2 linked regions of the Medicago truncatula genome follow. Each later gene encodes a partner of the first gene's protein in a complex. Links are inferred from orthologs where the notes say so. Each region holds a gene or a part of one and is shown on either strand. Other genes may lie near its edges. The genes, in order: mitochondrial import inner membrane translocase subunit TIM50 and mitochondrial import inner membrane translocase subunit TIM17-2.

Evidence for each region.
Region 2: mitochondrial import inner membrane translocase subunit TIM50 (region 1) and mitochondrial import inner membrane translocase subunit TIM17-2 share a complex: the UniProt entries of both Arabidopsis thaliana proteins name them as parts of the TIM17:23 complex. The link is inferred for Medicago truncatula from reciprocal best matches to the Arabidopsis thaliana genes TIM50 and TIM17-2.

What each region holds. Positions count from the first base shown.
Region 1 is NC_053046.1:42,945,407-42,953,216, forward strand, and holds the start of mitochondrial import inner membrane translocase subunit TIM50, read right to left. Parts: upstream 3,265-7,810; 5' UTR 3,150-3,264; coding exon 2,828-3,149; intron 2,683-2,827; coding exon 2,594-2,682; intron 1,171-2,593; coding exon 1,134-1,170; intron 1-1,133. UniProt on the Arabidopsis thaliana protein: Essential component of the TIM17:23 complex, a complex that mediates the translocation of transit peptide-containing proteins across the mitochondrial inner membrane.
Region 2 is NC_053047.1:41,353,979-41,360,302, reverse strand, and holds mitochondrial import inner membrane translocase subunit TIM17-2, read right to left. Parts: upstream 1,667-6,324; 5' UTR 1,535-1,666; coding exon 902-1,534; 3' UTR 595-901; downstream 1-594. UniProt on the Arabidopsis thaliana protein: Essential component of the TIM17:23 complex, a complex that mediates the translocation of transit peptide-containing proteins across the mitochondrial inner membrane. Links the inner and outer membranes.

The sequences.
Region 1 (7,810 bases):
AAAACCGGTGCATTAGAATTAAATTGGAAAAGATATATCCTAAGAATTATGCCACGTTTGATTTTTGGATTTGTTTCAAAACAAATAAATAAATATTTTAGAAGTATACAACATCATTTTGTCTGTACCAGTCCTCCTTAACAATACAACTAAACCAATGCCCACTTGACTTCTTTGCTAGTTACTACGCCCTGATCAAATGCTACAAAGGAGGCCGTATAATAGATATTTCTATGATTGTACAGAGTACAGTTCTTTTGGTACATATTAAAATTACCAGTGTTGTCAATCGCGGATAACGGAAATTTGGGGATTGATAAAATTAGCATCACTGTTTGTCAACATTTTACATTAAATAGCTATGAATGAACAACAGAAGTATGTCTAATTTCCGCTACAACATCGCTCATAACATCAACGCAGCTGCTATTTAACAACACTGAAAATTACCGTTAACTATCATATCATAAAAGCTTTTTTGTAATGCGCATATGCAAGCAGCAATTTATCCATGGGACCCCTACTACATATTGTTATGATTAATTGATAAATTAATCTATATAAATTATGATTATCCATAGCCAAGATAACTTCACAAAATCACAAAAGAGATGTAGTGGTTAACTCATCCATTCGATTCATGTTTGTACTTGCAGGAAGTATGATCATTCCTACCCTTGGCAGTGTTGTTCCAGTCAAGGGCGGTATATTTTGGGTGTTTGTAAAAGTGATCCTTCTTTCTGAGACCAAGCCCCCCCTTTCATGCAAAGCAGGAACTGCCCCTTCCTCAAACCACCTAGTGGGAGGTTCTTTTCCCTAACTCCCTTCTCACCTCCTCTCGGGATAACTGCTTGGGCCCTCTCACTTTAACTTTCCCACCTCTATCCATTCGGACTCGCCCACACACCAGGCACATGCTTTCTCCAAGTCGCCCAAGGACTTCCCTTATTTAGGTCAAGGGTATGGAACTAAATGGCATATGATGGTCCAATGTTCATGTAACAGCAACACTCCCGAAGTCCAAGGGAAGAGACACTCACATGAAGAACCTCAAAATTAATTATATATTTAAAGGATCCGAACAATACTGATATAAGATAAGTGACGTACAGAGTAAAGCTAGGGGAACCCACCTGTCACTGCAGTTGAGTATACCATCCCTTGAAATTTCTGCAAGCATAATAAAATCGAAAAATATCAACCTACTAATGTTAAGGCCTATTAACATATTAAACTGACTAAAGGAACAATGATAATTTACTACATTCTAACCATGCAAAGCTCCAAAACTAAGCAATAGTGCTGTCCACAAAGGGATTACCAATAAACAAAAAAGTAAAAATTTGCAACTCATTTAAGTTCATGTTGCATAAGAGGCATTTCAAATAACAAGAGAACAACATTCAAAGAGTACGTTGTTCCCTGTTTTTTTGGCCTTCTGTTTCCTGTTTTTAGTCAGTTGTTCCCTTATGTTGGTGATGTGGTTTGTGGCCGATTTCTTTTGCACTTCAGTTTAGTTTCACGCCTTGCTCGTCTTATACTTGGTTTGTGATTTGCAGAAAATTTAGCAGATTCAAAAACACATTCGAAGAGTCATTTCATCAAACAAAAATTTGTTAATGTTGAGAGTCTAAACACAACAATTCATGCTAGAAAAATGTCAACCTACTAATGTTGAGGCCTATTAACATATTAAAATGACTAAAGGAACAAAGAAAATCTATCACATTCAAACAATGCAGAGTTCTAAAACTAAGCAATAGTAAGGTCAACAAAGTGTGTTTCCAAGAAACAACACAGTAAAATTTTCAATCTGACACTGATATCACTAAAATTTACTTATGCAAGCAATTGAAAGCCGCCATATCAAAGTGTTGCATCCAAAGATACCACACCACCAATAAATTGACAAAATGTGGGAAAAATGTCAAATCCACACACAAATTTTGCAACTCATTCCAGTTCATATTCTAAGAGCCACTTCATCAAACAAATAAATAATCATTAAATTTATAGAGTCTAAACCTCTGTAGCCCTGACACTTCTAATTGAAGGCGTGTTCGATGTCCAACACGTGTCACTGTCCAATACCGACATGACACCCACATATGTGATTACAGTGAATTATGTCATTTACTATCAGTGTTGATGTGTCAGTGTCAGTGCCGTGTTCGATGTTCATGTTTGTGCTTCATAGGTCTAAACACAACAATTCACACTAGAAAAATAACTTCAAATGTAAAATTAGTAGCAGCACTCAAATTGAGAGCAGTAACTTGAAACAATTATAATCCATTCATTCAAACCATGCTGAGTTTTGTCATAATTCAAACAAGTATATCTATCACAATCCCTGGTAGTAATGTAAGAAAATGACATAATTGAATGTAATTACTAGTCACACGTGTGATGTCTTCGAACAGAAATGTCGGTACTTTTAGATATTTGAAAAACCATTTCATCAAACAAAAATTCGTCAATTATTTAGAAATTGAACATTAAACAAAACAATTAATGGTAGAAAAACTAATTTCAAATGTTAAATTAGCAAAGAAGATTAAATGCGAAGAAAGATTCAGAAACAGTTACTTACATCGAGAGAAGTAGCTCCATCAGGTGGAGAGTACTTAGTCGAATCACGAAACAACTTCGTTTTCTCATCAATTTCGTCCGTACTATAAGCTGCACATTACATTCAATAAACAAGAAAGAAAAATAAAATCAATCAATCATCATTTCGTTTTCCAGATCAATACGATTAAAGAAAGATTCAAAATGATTAACTACAGTGGAAACGGAAATGAAGAGGAAAAAGAAAAATACGAACCGTAAGAGGCGTAACCGGCAACGGCGGTGGTTCCGGTTAAGGCACCGATGGCGGCGTATTTGAGGAAGTTCCAGCGGTTAGGGGAAGCGGTGGAAGAAAAAGGAGGAGGTGGAGGAGGAGTGGCGGAAGAAGGTGGAGGAGTGGCGGAAGAAGGAGGAGGTGGAGAAGGAGTGGCGGAAGGAGGAGGATGAGGAGTAGCAGGAGCGGCGGTGGATGAGAAACGTGAAGAAGGTTGAGGAGTGACTTTGGAAAAGCGGAATGGCTTCGAAGACGATGATGCTGCGACGGAGAAGAATCGAGATCGGAGAATTTGGAGAGACATTGTTGTTATGGTGAATGAAATGAAATGAAAGAGGTTCAGGTAGGGTTTTGGCTTGGCTTGGTGGAGACGCCGGATCAACTCTGTTAAGCTTTCTGTTATTCTTTTTTAACTATTTGGACTTTGACGCCGTCAGTCTAGCTAACGTTGTTTCTAGAGCCCTGCTAAAAAGTTTTTTGGTGGATTATTTATTTCTTCTCCCACAAGAAAAAGATTTTTTTTAAGTAATCTAATAATATTAGGAATTCACCTGAATATTAATTAAAAAAATGTTGCTTGAGGACGAAAAAGATGTTTTTTTTTTTTTTTTTGTAAGAAAACAATTTTAAAAATCTATGAACTCACTTGATAGGGATGTTGCATATTATATATAGAGGTTGGGGTTCGAATCTCGGACACTCTATTTCTCCACAATTAAATTGTGTGAGCTATAACTACTAGGATACTCGACAAAAAAATTCTAAAATATATTAATTAAAAAAAGATGATAGTGTTTTTTACTATATAAATAAAGAAAATTATAATGGAATCTAGCTAAGAAATTATAATGAAAATTACAGTGCAAACTCATATTACATGGATGGAATCTGAAGGAAAAAAATTGCAAAAGGGAAAACAGAGAATGACATATATTGCATGTGGTAAAACACTATTAACCCTACATTGTATTGTCTAAAAGAAAAATTTGATTTTTTTTAAACGATGAGATTTTATTAAGCGTTTTGTCAAAGTCAAATTGAGGTATTTTACAATACCACTTAAAAGTTAAGTATTTGAAATTCTTTCTTTACAGTATAGAATATTTTGAAAGAAAAAAATTTGGAAAATGAGAGATTTCATCAAATATTGTCAAAATTAAATTGAGATATTTCAAATACCACCTTAAAGTTAAGAATTTTAAATTATTTCGCTACTATATTGGTCATATATATTTCAAAAATTTAACATTTGTCATTTTATTTTTATTTTTTTAAATTTATCATGTATGTTTCAAATTTTGCTTATTGGCCCCCTGTTAATTTTTAAATTTAGTAAGTTGGTCCTTTTAATTATAAAAAATTACAAACTAATCCATGTAATAATCATATAATTACTCCTATAAGGATTCAAACATGAGATCTCAAAATCAAGGTTTGCTCTCATAGCCTGCTCAACAACACCAATATTTTGTTGTAGTTCAGCTTTTTATCAACTAATTTTTAATAATTCTATGTTTGGAGCTTTGGAGGCCAAATAGCCTTTAGAAAAACGTGTGTTTTTTTTAGAGACTTAAAACAAATATTTGGATCGCCTTGCGTTTGGATCAACTATATTTCTACGTTCTTAATTAGGAGCCTTCCGATCTTTCCCCTTTGACTTGTTAATATTGGTTATAGCCTCGTACCTTATCTTGTAATACAATTACTAATCTTCCATCAAGTTCTTCATATGGGAATATTATATGACACTTATCTTGAATATATTTCAATCCTAAATGAGAACTTCCGTTAGCAATTAGCATCCAATTCATTAAAATATGTTGGTGATTTGAGGTGATTCTAAGATTGACGATCAAAGTTGATGAAGCGCAATGAAGAATGTTCATTGGTTCCTCTGACTGAGTCTTGCGCGCACATGCAAATAACACTTTAACGATCAAGTTTGTCTATGATTGGGTGAGTGATTGGTTTTGATTAAAAGTAAAAATACCTTTTTCCAAGTATATCTTTATATATGACGAGTTTCAGGAATACGAGGTGAAAATTCGTTGAGTTAATTGAACGAAATCTACATGATTCTTAGACTTTTGTCTAATCACAATCATATAGTGACAATATGATTGACATGTTCACTAGGATACATCGTCAATACCACCCCATAATATGTGAATTTTGCTCTTCACCCTACACATTTTGCTCGCGTTCTGCAGCCATGTCAAAAATGTCATTGCGCTAGTTAACTTGCGCAAGTGTTAATCAATGCACAACTTAACCAACGTTGCGTGAGTTAACTAGCGCAACGTTAGTTAAGTCACGCTACGTGTTGTCTTAAACAAGGCGGAACACCTCATAAAAGGAATGAACAAAATTGAGGCATATAACAATATCTCATTTTATTAATAGAATTCATACAATACAATAATTGATACAATAATTTATTCCAATTCACTAATTTATTCTACTTATTTTCTCCCTTTTGGGGTAAAAAGTAATCAATCTTCTTAGGGTAAAATAGCGAGCAGCCTTCTTGGGGAAAATACATCACCAACCTCTGGGCTGAATTTAAATCTAGTTTTTTTTTATGCCCCAACAAGAATCCTTTTACCCACGGTAAAAAGTTTATGGAGTAAAAAAAACAGATTTAAACTTATCCCAATGGTTGATCACTTCCCCAAGTTGGCTACTCACTATTTTACTCCGAAGAAGAGAAATAGAGGGAGAGAGTGAGGAGGGGGAGAAAGTGAGATGGTGTGAGGAAATAGGGAAGTATGGAGGGGTATTTATAGGTGAGAATGGTAGTGTAGGTTATAACCACCATAAATGTGGTCAAAAAAACGTGTAAAGTTTGTAGAAAATGTGTGGATTGAAGGTTGAAAACCTGACCACCGTCCAAAAAACGTTTGTTCTTCAGTTCTGACCACCAGCCAACGTGCATGAGTTAACTCGCGCATAGGTCAATGGTGCGTGACTCAAGTCACGCAGAGGTTATAAAATGCGCAAGTTAAGTCACGTAGGGCGCGAGCAAAATGTGCTGGGTGAAGAGCAACATTCATAATATGTACCTCCATGATCCAATCTATTAGCGGAATGGGCCTCAGCCTAGTCCGAACAATAGGTAATTATCATTCTCATACCCTTCTCTTTTTTAGTAACTATGCCATCAATTATGAGTAATTTTTTGGGTGATCCATTATTATTATCCACCAAGATCATTATGCATGGAGGCTTTATCAATTTTTAATAATGTGGGCGTGTGTGGGTTTGAAGGCGGTTCCTTGACCCCCTTTGCTCTTCTGTACCGCATCACCCGGGGGTTTTGGCCCCAAACCATGAATGGTATGAATGCAACTTGACAATCAAACCTCAATTTGTTCTGTTCAGTATGAAGATAACAGCTGCAAATTTCTATGATCAATAATACTGATCCGACTGACAACTGGCTACTACTTACTTTTCAAGTACCTATTATCGTTCATGACAAAATGCATTCCTGAATATCAGGTAAGTCTTGGCATAGTCACAGTGCCTAACATACCATCTGCTTCATATTAATTTTCCAACTATAGACTTTTCTGAAAAAGACCAAGGGTATATTCAAACAATATACTAGTAACAAATACATAGTAGCCTATAAAAATACATATAACAAATACAGTTTTTTTTCTCAGGCATATATATAACAAATACAGTTATCCGTCAAATTTATTTATGATATTATTTTTAAAACATTTCAACAAATATTTATGCTTCTTAATTAGTTGACTAGTTCTATCGTTGACTTTGTATTTATGATAATAGTGGATATAATTGTTTAATAAAATCAATTTGATAAAATTATTGATTTTTCTTCAATTTATAACTTATTTTAGTGTGTGTGAAATAACTTAGCTAGTATAACACTCCTAATAATGGAAAACATAATTTTCTTTTCTCTTCTTGATTCGAACCATATTCATCACATGGTGAAGTCTAACCTTTTCCACTGAACACAATAAGCACATAGTATTATCAATTGAAATGTCTTTAAATTATTTTCAGAAACCAACAAAAATAATAATAGAATCACCCTCTCCAGTACACACCAGTCACCACTATATATAATGAGGCCTTCCTGGCTTTAATTCACCAAACCATCATATCTCACTACTTACAATCTACCAAACCTCATTTCATTCTCTTTCTTTAGAGTGAACACTATGGACAATATGTGTCAACTAAATTTCCAAAATATATCAACACTGACTCAAGGGATGAAAACTCATTCCCATCTTATGAAATTTACACAAATATTCATTTCACTATCTGTGTTTTGCTTCATCTTTTCACCTTCTTCCTTGTTTGTTTTCCTTCATTACTTTAAATTATATTTCTCTACTCTCCCTTTTCAACTCTACACTCACAACATAGACAAGAATAGCATGTTCCTCCTTTGTAATGGTCTCCTTGTTTTTGTTGGTTTAACTAAATCTTTTTCTGCCTCTTCTAGTGATGATGATAAACCTTCCAACAACTCCAAAGATTTTTCATCATCACAGTATATCCAAGAAGAAGAAGAAGAAGAAGAACAAGTAGAAGAAGATGGTTCACAATATCATGTTCTTGACGTAGAGGCCAATGAGCCAATATTGGAGCGAGAAGCTGAGAAGATAACTAGTAAGCCTAATGAACAAAATGCCGAAGCAGAGGAAGAAATAGAAATTAAAGCATGTTCTACAGAAGTCGAAGAAAATATTGAAAATATAATTTTCATAGACGAAGAACAAGGAGAAGAAGTTGAACTATTTGATGCACATGATGATGAGGGAGATAAATTGTCGGAAATTGATTACATTCTAATTGAAGAAAACAACATAGAAGAAGAGGAGCATGAAGAAGAAGATGAAGAATATTATGTAGAAGAAGAAAGTTGTGTGCTAAGTACAGAAGAGTTAAACAAAAAATTTGAAGATTTCATTAGAAAGATGA
Region 2 (6,324 bases), on another chromosome or scaffold:
TCACTTGAACTCAATAATCTTTACCTCACTCTCAAAATCCAGTTAAAGGAAACATCAAATTTAAACATATTGTAATTAAACCACCGGTAATCTAATATACTTACACTAATTATAACCACCGGTAGCTATCATGTCACTAGTGCCACAAGAACAAAATATAGTTCTTGACAAAAGACATGGCCGGCCATGAAATTAGTGCTCAAAATAAGGCAGAGGAGCACCAAACCTCTCAAGAACCCTCACCTCACTGATCACCACAAATTCATTCAAGTAACAAATATCCCCCAACCCAACACAACAAAGCCACTGCTAAAAAAAAAAGAACCAAACAGAACCACAGAACCCCTACGGCCCCTCAAAAACCAGTTCACACCTCACTAAGTGAGTAGCCATTTGTGAAGGCAACAAAACACAGTGAAAATCTAGCTGAATAGAAACTCATTAGGGAGATTATAAGCTTAAAAGACAATAACCAAACCCTATTTCACACGTACTCAAAATAAGGCAGAGAAGGCGAATCAACCCTCTCAAAAACCTTCACCTCACTAATCAACACAAATTTGTTGGTAACAAACAATTGAAATTCAAGCAATCACACACCAAACAAAGAACATTCATTTAAACTCAACATAATTAAACAACTAATAATCTACTGTACTTACATTAATCATAACAACATTAAAAAAATATCATTAACATTATAATAAAAGTCTACCGCTAAACTTATTACATATGATTATCAATTTCAAAACAGCCATAAACCAGATAACTCTTATAAATACTTCATTAGTATCATAGCTAATAAGCAACCAACATCAATCAAGGTTCAAACCAAACCCTAATTTTCTCAAATTTAAATTTTCAAAACACAAATTCACTACCTCAAAACTCTAATTCATAATCACTTATACTCAAAATTCGGCACAGGAGGCGCATCAAAACTCTCCAAAACCTTCACCTCACTTCCACCACCACCAATCTTCTCTTCCTCCTTCTGTCCAAAAATTCCACCAAATCCACCAAACCACGGCTTCCCACCTTTGTTTTCCTCCGAATTTGCATTTGAATTCGAATTCTCTGGCGGCATATCCTCGATCATCATCGGCAAAGGCTGTTGAGCACTCAAAAACTTATTCAAAGCAATACCAGCCCCCTCAATCAACGCTAAAAGCACACCACCAAATGCCGCTGATCGCGCAGAAGCAGCTAAACCCTGACGCATAGCAAGAAAACCACCAGTAGCAGCACCAGCAACAATAGAATTCCACGGATCTTCCTTTTGTCTCACGTAAACCATAGTACAATCAAAAGTTGAGAATAAACCACCCCAAACAGCGAAACTACCACCGATTCGAGGTGCGTTGAGACGAACAGCTTGTGTTGCGCCGGTGAAACGTGCTCCTTTGGGGGAATTGTAGAGACCTTTGAGAAAGTGGAAGGCGGAGCCACCGACGGCACCCATACCAAACGCGCCGCCGATGTCGTCGAGGATGCGATCGGGACAAGGCTCGCGTGAGGTTTCAGGTGTTCCCATGTTTTGATTGATTTGATCGAAAAGTGAATTTGGGTATTAGGGTTTTGGTGCGTGAGAGGAGAAAGAGAGAGAACAAAAGAATGAAGTAAAGAGGGTCGAAGTTCTCTTTTTATACGCCGACTAATAATGTTAAAATTATTTTAGATTTTAGATATCAATCTTTTTTATCAAGCAATGGGAAATTTTGTTTTTTTTTTAGAATCAACGGGAAATGTTTTAGATATTTTGTTTTTGCATACCTATTGGAAAAAAAAAAAATATATATATATATATATATGATTATTAATTCTTGGTTTAAATGTGTCCATTGATCCAAGCACTTTTTTTGTTTGGCATTGGTCCCTGCACTTTGTAAAAATATTGGTATTGGTCCCTCTGTTAACTTTCTGTTAAAAAAAAAAAACACAAAATCAACGGAATGCCACCTGGCCCAATCATTTCACGCCACGTGGCACCAATATCAATATTTTTACAAAGTGCACTGACCAATTCCAAACAAAAAAAAGTGTAGGGACCAATGCCAAAATCTGATGAAAGTGTAAGGACTAAAGGCATATTTAAACCTTAATTCTTTCTTTCCATGAGATTCTTGCACGATTTATTTTTTAAAAATGTGTTTTTGTTCGAATTTTATAATCATAAGGTGTTTTGATTTATGGAATCCTAACAATGTAAAAATTGAAGGCAGGCATGCAACATGACTTATGCTTGCCCAAATTTCTATAACAATCGTTTGAAATATATAAACCGAAATTTTTTCACAATGTGTTGAAAGTATGATTTTAAACATAGTTTTTGGGCCCATTTTTATTTTTATGATCGGGAAAACTAGCTTTTAAAAGGCGGGGGAACACTTGGATTATGGAATCTGAAACCTTCGAATATAAAGGTTTGCCAAAAACCTAACAAAATGTCACCACCTTTATCACTAAACACTCCTCACATCTCAAAAAAAAACACACCATTTTGGGCGAAAGTGTGATTTGGAGTAGCAATTTGGTCATCAAGGGGCGTCAACAACATCATTTTCGTTTGAATGCATAGATAATGTTCCTATAAGACCTTCCTCGTTCGATTTCTAGGCGCTTTCCTCTTGATCACGTCAACAATATGGTTTGACTTATATAATCTGAAACACACCATTGCAGACATTGTCCAGTTTGTTACCATGATTTTGCATTGTTTTTAGTAATGGACGCTCTCATTAATATCTCATAGGCTCTTACATTGGCTCCTGACATTGAAACTCCTATTATGTTGCTAATTATTTCACCTGAAAATTTGGATGATACCGTCAATGTCAAAGTCGAGGATCCCCCACCTCTAGTCGATATTCCTTCTGAGGATGCGAAAGTGAAGGGTGCTCCTCCACCTGGTGTGCCTCCAGCTGATACTCATCCAATTGTTGGACCTATTGTTGTTTCTATTGATCATCAGGAAAATTTTACCACTAAAGTAAAGTTTGCTACACATAACGATTTGTTGAGTGGATTCGAAAATAAGTAGGGAGGCTAGGATTTTCAACTGTTATTAAAAAGTCAAATAAGGGTGGAAATGGCATAAATGTATTTGTTACGTTATATGTGAAAAGGGAGGTTCGTATACTGAGTACAAGAAGTTGTGCATGTGTAAGATATATGGGAAATACAACGAAAAACGTAGTTGAATATGCGCACAGTCAGTTGAAAAAGTATTTGACTAGTAGTATGGGATGTTTGTGTATGAATTGGTCATTCGTTCACAACATGTTAGAATCGCAACATACTCAAATACATGTGTTGTTCTATATGAGTATGATCATGCTTAAAACAGTTTCACGGGAAAGTTGTCGTGGTCTAAGTTGATTGGAAACATATCAAAGAATGTTTTGCATTATATATCGCAAACAAATCTGATCGAGCAGTTGAGTGTGGTACAGATAAATCCAAACATGGTTGCTTAGTTTTCATCACATGTGAATTGTCGTGTGCATGCACCACTGCTAAAAATACAAAGAACACCTGTAACGCCCTAGTTGTTTATTTAATTAATTTGAATTATGTGGAGTATATGTATTTTTATATATGATGTTTGGTAATTTATGCGGAGTATATATATATATATATATATATTTATATATATATATGTGATTTTTGGGTGTCTTATGTGGTGTATTATTTTATTATATAGTTTATTTAATAATAATTAATATAAGTATGAAATAATAATTATTTTGGAGTTTGGGGAGTTATTTAATAGTTATTAAAGTTAATGGGGAGTTAAATGAAAATATAGGGAGTTAAGTAATGGGAAGTTAGGAAAAGAAAGAGGAGAAGCAGTTGTACGTAAGAACTGACAAGTTGGGAGAAAAAGGGGAGAAGACCAAGTTAGAGCCAAGAGTGAATTTGCTGCACATTTCTTCTTCAATTTCTAAGGTAAGGGTGAGGTTTACTTCAATAGTGTAGATTTTAAAGTCTGATTTGAGTTTAACAGGTTTTTGGATTGAAATTGAGGAATTGGGTTTTAATTGAATTTATGGTTTTTGGGGTAGATATTGCTATTCTGATGTTAGAATTTGGTTTTGGTTGCATAGAAACATTCATTTCTCATCTGTAAACTGATTTGGGGAGTGATTGGAAGGAAAATGGGATTTTTGGGAAAAACCAGTTTTCTGCCCGTACAGAAGTTCATCGCTCGCCTCGCGAGTAGCTGTGCTCGCCATGGCGAGTGAGCAACTTCATAGCTCGCCTCGCGAGCAGTCCAACTCGCCATGGCGAGTAGCCCATAATAAAACTTGATTTTTGAAAAGTTGTTATAAGATGTTTTGGGGATGGTTTAAGGTACCTAGATGATTTTTATGATGAATGGTGAAAGTTTTAGGTTAAAAAGATGAATAGGGAACTTAGAATTTGGATTTGAGTGAGAAAATGGCATTTTTCCCGAGAGCTCCTGATTTTCACTCGCCTAGAGTTCGCCTTGAACTCGCCACGGCGAGCTACTGTTTTTGTGAACTCGCCATGGCGAGCAGATGTGCTCGCAAGGCGAGTTGCACTGTTTATGAGTGTTGAATTGCTTGCATGATTAGTAGTGGTTGGTGTTGTTGTATTTGAGCATGGTTGTATATAATTATACATTATTTTGGTTGATTGGATTGTTGGATTGATGAATACTGATGATGGTTGAAATGTATGTTATTTATTGAATCATACATATTATTATAGTAGAGTCACATGGAGTTGCATTGCATGGTCAGTTGTATGTAGATATACACAAGTAGGTCCATTACATATGCATAAAACAGCGGTGAGGGCTTCGGTCCTGGAGTACTAGTTGCTCAACAGCGGTGAGGGCTTCGGTCCTGATGAATGCTTTAACCATTCAAAAGCGGTGAGGGCTTCGGTCCTATTTGGTACCACATGCATATTGCATTTCATTAAGAAGTCTAAGATGGTGTCTTAGCAGTGGTCATGTCATTTGCATGAGTCTTGGTTGTTGATGTCGGTTATTTTCTGATGGATGATGTTGGTGTTGAATATGCATTTATATATATATATTCATTGTGATCATGGGTATTGTTGATGTTGTTGTTACTTGTGACTTATACATATATTTGTTTACAAGATAAAGTGTTGTTGGTTAGGGTGTTAGATTCAATTGATGATTTTAATATATATATTTATTGTTGTGAATCTCACCCCTTCTGCTTGAAAATGTTGCCCTTCCTATGGGTAACTTGCAGGTGATCCTGAGTAGTAGGTGGTGGCTCAAAGTCGTGTTTAGGGCTCTGATACGTGGGATGGGATTTATCATTTTTATTATTGTTGCTTTTCCTTTCCATGTATCAAATTTTGGAACTTATGGTGTGGAGCCTTTTGTTGTCTTTGAACTATGATGTTGAATTATGTTAAGGCCTTTAATGCCTTAGACTATTGTTGGATGTTCATGTGGTTATGGATTATGAAAACTATTCCGCTGCTATGTTTTCATAAATAATAAGTTGCTTGATTAAATAGTTTTATTTTCTATTTAAGAAATTTTGAAATGACGTGTAGCATGCCCGTTGTGGAACTACTCTGATGTATATTTGCTATTTAATTGCTTTTGGGTAACGGGGTGTTACAATTTGGTATCAGAGCCGGTTGGTCCGTCCGGCCAACTAGTAGAGTCGTGTTGAGCCACCTAGGATAGAGTGTCAACTTTAATATTGTTTTTTTTGTTGTTGTTCTGAGTTGTTGTTTGTCGTGTAGAATCTCGAGATGACTGGAAGTAGTGATGCTGCCCTTGTTGCTGCGCTTGAGGCTGTAGCTCAAGTTGTTCAACAGCAACCTAAGGTTGAGACTGGTAGTGATGGAACCAGGATGCTAGAGACTTTCTTGAGGAATCATCCACCAACATTCAAGGGTAGGTATGCTCCTGATGGTGCTCAGAAGTGGCTGAAGGAGATTGAAAGAATATTCCGAGTCATGCAGTGTTCTGAGACACAGAAGGTGCGGTTTGGGACGCACATGTTAGCTGAGGAGGCCGATGATTGGTGGATTAGTTTGTTGCCTGTTCTGGAGCAGGATGATGCTGTGGTAACCTGGGCCATGTTCAGGAAGGAGTTGCTGGGCAGGTATTTTCCAGAGGATGTCAGGGGTAAGAAAGAGATTGAATTTCTGGAGTTGAAACAGGGTGACATGTCTGTCACAGAGTATGCTGCAAAGTTTATGGAGCTTGCCACATTCTACCCTCATTACAGTGCGGAGACAGCTGAGTTCTCCAAGTGTATCAAGTTTGAGAATGGGTTGAGGGCTGACATCAAGAGGGCTATT